Linked DNA regions of Mus musculus. The protein of the gene in region 1 purifies or fractionates together with the protein of each later gene. This does not show direct contact. Links are inferred from orthologs where the notes say so. Each region holds a gene or a part of one and is shown in the gene's direction. Other genes may lie near its edges.

Region 1 (4,172 bases):
ACACAGTTATGCACCCCATTGGTGATGTAGGGTCACACAGGTGGCCCAAGTTAAACCCTGTGGGTATAAAAAAAATAATAATAATAATAAAAAGAAGCAAAAACCCAACAAACTAATGTATAAAGGAAGGAGTGTTGTAAGGAAGAGGCAGGAGGAAAATGTGTGTGTGTGTATTTTGTGGGAGAGGACCAAAATGCATTATATACTTGTATGAAACTTCCAAAGGACAAAGCAGATTACTAATAAAAAGAATCTACAACAGTAAACAAGAAACTAGTCACTGTAATCTATTTGGAGAATTGTTAACTGGAGCAGGAAACATTTTTATGCTACAATATTTTACATTATGATTTTAAATTCATGTGTGAGTGTCTGCATGCCACTACATTATTGTGAAGGACATCGTCTGATATCAGACCTCTTGTTCCAGGCTCTGTTTGTTGTTTCACCTGCAGTGTGCAGCAGGCTAGCAGGCCTGTGAGCTTTAGAGGTGCTCCGTTTTTCTGCCTCTCATCCAGGAAGGCTGGGATACACAAATTCCAGGGATCCAAACTTGGGTTCTCAGGCAGTCACAGCTAGCAATTTACATATTAAATCATCTCCCCAGCCCTATGTTTGTTTGAAGCACATTTTCATATAGATGTATTTCCTTTTTATTTAAAGGAGAAAAAAAAAAGATGGCTCTTTCTATAGTGACACTTTCTATAGTATAGGACCTGGTTAGAATGTGGGTTTGTTGAACTACCTCTGATAGGTATTGAGGAGGTCCACATAAGCTTTCAGAGCTAAGGGACCAAAAAGCTTTTGTTAATAAATGATGTCTATTTAATTCTTCAGAGGGTGCAAGTAAATCAGAATAGGCAAGCAAAAACTGACATCAGGCTTCAGCCCTTTCCTTCAACATGAGATTTGTATGGAAATTCCAACTTTGGGGGTAATGCCTTGGCAATCTGATGGCTCCTTCCAGGATGGTTATACCACTTCTCAGTGAAGACAATAAAGTCACTATTGATCTGGGATGGATTTCAAGGACAATAATACAAGTGAGAAAGGTGATCTCACATGTGTTATTGTATGATTCCATTTATATAATATGATGACAAAATAATACAGGGATGAGACAGATTCCTTGTTACCAGGAGTTAGGTGTAATACAGGAGGGCGTGAGTGTCGTTCAGGAGACAGTGCTAGCTAGAGCTTGAGACAGAGCAGTTATGCTGGGGTATACAGAGATCACACACATACTAAGGTAGACAGGGAACTTACTAGGTAGCCACAGGCTGGCTTCTAACTTGCCATCTTGCTGTCTTTGTCTCTAGAGTGCTGTTTTTGCAGGTGTGAGTTGCCTTGTTTTGGTATTGCATAGTTACATTAATATGTGGTCATTGGGGGAACTGGGTGAGGGATACAGAGAAAGAGGACACATCTGTTGTGTACTTGTAACTTTACATGAAACTCTGCTTTAAAATTAAAGGGAAGCAGAGGCAGGTAGATCTCTGGAGTTCAAGGCCAGCCTGGTCTACACAGTGAGTTCTAAGATAACCAGGGCTACACAGAGAAACTCTGTCTCCATCCAGCCCCCACAAAGTCCCACTGAACTTATTGGAAATTGTTCCTACATTATATTTCAGTTGGTTGATGTAAAATAAAATATTTATATGTTGTATGTAAAAAAAGCATAAATCATCTCTTGGCATTTGCCATATATATTTATTCAGACAATGGTTTGGATAAAGGTGGAATGAAATGTTATGTACAAAAATGTGACATGCAGCTGAAATGAATTTAACATGCTTCAAGATTGTAGCAGGGGTAGATATTTATCAGCAGTCAGGATGGTTCGGCGGGTCCCTACTTCAGCATGATCACATAAGTCTAGGGTGCCTTTACAATACTTTCAATAACAATGAAAAAAGGAGCAAGGCTGGAAAGTTGCAAAAGAGAGAAAGTAAAATGCATTGGGGGGAAATGAATGTTTTTCAGACTGAATTTTAGAAAAAAGAGCAGAGAGGAGTGGGTGGCTCAGAAAAGACACTATGTGCTTAGTAACTAGAGTGTCATAGGTATATTTAAATTTTCTACATGTGCTGTTTTTTGTTTTATGTTTTTTGTTTTTTTTCCCTAGAATAATAACGAAGTCTTTGGAAATACTGCACCACTGCCGCTGTGCTCCGTGCATCCTCTGTGCGCCTAACAGAGGAGGTTGGCCCTGTGGCCATGGGAGAGAAGGGTCACCTGAGCCGGGTGTTGTTGGAATGCAGTCTCAGTGACAAGCTGTGTGGTAAATGCAGATACCACATCTGCCTGTAACCGGATGCCAGAACAATAGAGACTGATTTCTGGATGTTTCTACAGGAGGAGGGTGGTTTCACTTCTAGTGGAAATGAATAGGGGGTGGAAGGCATCATTTTTATAGGGTGAGGGTGACATGCCAATCAGAAATAACAAAAAAAGATCCTTGATGGTCTAAACCACAGGGTTAGTGTCTGGTTAAGGTTGGCCTCCATGGGTCTCCATTGAAGGGAATGAAGAGAACTCAGGAGCACTGAGGCATGCTGGGTAGGGGGAACTGTGGCAGGATTCTTACTTCTATCCCCATTTATGGCCTACACAGTTGTCCGAGAGAAGCAGTATGAAGTAATCATTGTTCCGGCTCTCCTGGTTGGCGGCTTTCTCATCCTTCTTGCAATCATCCTGTGGCTTTTTATCAGAGGACAGAGATCCCAAAGGCAGAGCCCTGGACCCCGAGGTAAGGCTCAAACTCTAGGGGTAGGCATGGGTTCAGGGACGATTGATTTTAAGAAAATCATAACCCAGGTTTTCAATAGGCCCATCCCATAGTCAGATCTTACAAATGATAAGCCCAAGCCGCTCAATATCTCTCATGTCCAATGATTTTCTCTCTACCTGATCCCAACTCTATAGTGACCTAGTTTTCCCTTGATAACACAGAATAATCCATGAAGGCCTTGATTGGTCTCTCAGCTCATATATTTTAAAGCCCTCCATCAGTTCGCTGTGTTTCACAGAAGAGAATATAGTAAGGTTCTTCCTAGGGCCCTGTATGATCTGGCCCCTCTGTCTTCCACATCTGTCCAGCCATCCCACTTGGCTCCCTCTGTACTGCCTTCTTTGCTGCTCCTTAAACATCCTAAGTGTATCCTTCTCTTAGTGCCTTCATACATCTTGTTCCATGTGCTACAGTGTCATCATGGTTTGCTCTGTAATTGCTTCTAGGTCTTTATTAAATGTTACCCTATCTAAAAGGCCTATATTTGGCATCTATAGATAAAATAGTATCTCCTCTTGCTATTTCCCCTCCTAACACACTGTCTCATTCATTCTTAATGCTATATGCTCTATGATTGAAAACTAATCTTAGGTAGATCTGAACTTTGTCTATCCTCAACTCAGAGAGTGCATATGGTATATGGTGATATTTACTGAACAGATTGATTGATTAACAAATTATTAGAAATACCAGAAGGAAACTTTCTTAGCCAGTTGTAATGGTAGCTGTGGATGGAAGGTAGTCTCAGAAGATCTTTTGACTATGATTCATGAGAATATAAAATGATTCCACATTTGAGAGCAACCTGAAGAAAGAAAAACTACAGCTTATGGATATAATTTTGGAAGTCATATGACTGACTTAAAGGCTATCCCTGCTGGTAGTAACTGCAATATTTTGGTACCTGTGGTGTGGATTTCGTTTTAGAACTGTCCTGTCTTGGTGCTATACCCATGGGGAACACTGAAGATAATCCCAAGGATTATTAAAAAAAAATGACCACTTTCAAGGGCTTCATCTTTAGTTTTCTACAAGGAATGAAATTATTATGACCATTGTAAAGCTCAGTGTTGGTATTCATTCACTGAGAAGCATCAGAAGATGTCCTTGTATTAGTTGTAGAGAAATTTTCCTAGCCACTTTATTCAATCTGCTTTTCTGGTGTCCCCAGGGCAGGGGCAGTTGATGGACATTACCTCTTTGTTCTAGGCACTGCCTCTGTACCTGCATCTAGGGGCAGAAGCCAGGAGGCAGCAGGACATGGAGAAAAAGTACTTCTGCCTCTTAAGGAGACCTCAGTGGAGGGCTTTCTGCGAGCGGCCACACCCCGCCTGGCTAAGCTGCAGGTGCCCAGGGAACAGCTCTTGGAGGTTCTGGAGCA
Region 2 (2,320 bases), on another chromosome or scaffold:
CCTTAGGACTGTGGTCTGGGAATCCAGTCTCGTCCCTGAAGGGTGCAGGGATGTGAGTGCACACAGTGGGTGTGCCGGGATGTAAGGACCTCATGAGTCCCATCACCCTACTCTATGTTGGGCACCTTATTGGGCCAGGGTCCTATGCTGGCCAGCAGAGACATGGTGGGAAGCTAGGGTGTCAGTTGGGGCCACAGAGGAGGGTGACCCTAGACAGCTACATGGAGTACTGGGTCTCTTTCAGCCCAGTGCTCATGGTGCGCATGTGCTGTCTGCAAGTGTTGCACGACATCCCTGCTTCCACTCAGCATGGGTTAGGGCAGCGAGCGGTTCTCACCCTTCCTGATACTGCAACCCATTAATACAGTTCTTCATGTCATGGTGACCCCCAACCATAGTTTCTATTCCTACTTCATAACTAATTTTGCTATTATTAATTGTAATGTAAACATCTGTGTTTTCCAGTGGTCTTAGGCAACCCCTGAAGGGGTTGCGACCCACAGGTACCACTGAATTAGGCGACCCCCCTACACACAGACACATAGCCACCCACACACTGAGCAGGAAAAGAGAAGGGTGTTCCCAGAGGCTGGGACCCCTTGAGTAACTCTGCTCCAGCATAGGGGCGTTTGAGATTAATAAGTAATATTAATAGTTGATGCATGCCTTCAATTCCAGAGTCAGAGGGAGGGGGAATCTCTGAGTTCAAAGCCAGCCTGGTCTACAGAACAAGTTCAAGGCCAGACTTGTCTACACAGACACTGTCTTGAAAACAAACAAACATACTTATTTTGTTATGTGTGTATTCATATATGTGTGGGGCATGTATCCCACATGTGTGTAGAAGTCAGAACAGTTTGCAGCTGTCAGATTGCTCCTGCACCTTACATGTATGGCCTGAGGATTGACCTCAGCTTCTCAGGCTTCCTGGCAAGCTCCTTTATCAAATGAGCCATCTGATGGCCCACATTCCCTCCCCCACCCCTTTTAAATGTACTTGAATATGTGTGGCTGGGTCAGCATCAGCAGGGCATCCTAAAACCTCCAGGGTGCTGAGCAGAGTTCACGCCAGGAGCCACCCAGTGGTGAGCCACTCATGTTCTTAACATGCCCTGGCTCTCCTGGATGCGCCTTTTCTAGATGAAGCCACATTTCCCAGGCAGGGTAGCCTGGTCCTGCTGAGGTGCCTGGGCCCTACCAGGGCCGATCAGCTGTGTCCTTGTGGCTTCTGCCAGCCCCAGGAGCAGGGCAGAGGGTGCTTCCCTAGGGACAGTGGCTATTCTTAGCCAGTGAGATCAAGGGTCCCCTAAAGGCAGCTTTGCGTTGGAGCACCTGCTGGGCCTGAAGGTCATGAGACAGCTGGAGGGTGGTGGTACAGGGAACCCTTGCAGTGGGGACCCTCAGCCAGCTAGTTCCCAAGGAGGCACAGGCAGCCATTGCTTCTCCTGCCTGGGAGGGGTGTGTCCCCCGCCCTGCTGACTGCTCACCCCACCCCCCTCACCCCTAGGCCCTGTTTGTGCTTTTCGTCCTCGCCTACATACACATCGTCTTCTCCCGGTCCCCCATCAACTGCTTAGAGCATGTTCGAGATCGATGGCCGCGGGAGGGTGTCCTGCGGGTGGAGGTGCGCCACAACTCGAGCCGGGCACCGGTGATCCTGCAGTTCTGTGATGGGGGCCTCGGTGGCCTGGAGCTGGAACCCGGGGGCCTGGAGCTGGAGGAGGAGGAGCTCACAGTGGAGATGTTCACCAACAGCTCCATCAAGGTGAGCGCGTTCTGGGCATGTGGGCTTGAGGTCATCCACCCAGTGGAACATCATCAGGCTGCCTCCTGCAGGCTCCACTGACACCGTGCTCCCCTGTGCCTGCAGTTTGAGCTGGACATTGAGCCCAAGGTGTTCAAGCCACAGAGCGGTGCAGATGCCCTGAACGACAGCCAGGACTTCCCTTTTCCTGAGACGCCAGCAAAAGGTGTGCAGCCCAGGCAGGGAGGGTTCTGAGGCCATGCTGAGCATGGGACCAGCCCAGCTGACCACTCTGTCCCTGTCTGCAGTGTGGCCACAGGATGAGTACATTGTGGAGTACTCACTGGAATATGGCTTCCTGCGGCTATCCCAAGCCACACGCCAGCGTCTGAGCATTCCTGTCATGGTGGTCACCCTAGGTAAGGCAGGCTGGGCGCTCTGGCAGGCTGGGGCTGGGCCAAGGATGGCTCAGCTGCCGAGGGCTTCCTGGCCTCTCTGACCAATACTGACCCCCATTCACTCGCAGACCCCACGCGGGACCAGTGCTTTGGGGACCGCTTCAGCCGCCTATTGCTG

The links. The genes of interacting proteins can lie anywhere in the genome.
Region 2: the proteins of Styk1 (region 1) and Tmem259 purify together in Homo sapiens (affinity purification with mass spectrometry; 3 studies listed by BioGRID and IntAct, with this or other methods). This does not show direct contact. The link is inferred for Mus musculus from reciprocal best matches to the Homo sapiens genes STYK1 and TMEM259.

Annotation. Positions count from the first base shown.
Region 1 is NC_000072.6:131,311,028-131,315,199, reverse strand, and holds the start of Styk1 (tyrosine-protein kinase STYK1), read left to right. Parts: upstream 1-1,372; 5' UTR 1,373-2,217; coding exon 2,218-2,281; intron 2,282-2,614; coding exon 2,615-2,749; intron 2,750-4,000; coding exon 4,001-4,172. UniProt on the Homo sapiens protein: Probable tyrosine protein-kinase, which has strong transforming capabilities on a variety of cell lines. When overexpressed, it can also induce tumor cell invasion as well as metastasis in distant organs.
Region 2 is NC_000076.6:79,978,941-79,981,260, reverse strand, and holds part of Tmem259 (membralin), read left to right. Parts: intron 1-1,507; coding exon 1,508-1,765; intron 1,766-1,870; coding exon 1,871-1,970; intron 1,971-2,052; coding exon 2,053-2,163; intron 2,164-2,270; coding exon 2,271-2,320. UniProt on the Homo sapiens protein: May have a role in the ERAD pathway required for clearance of misfolded proteins in the endoplasmic reticulum (ER). Promotes survival of motor neurons, probably by protecting against ER stress.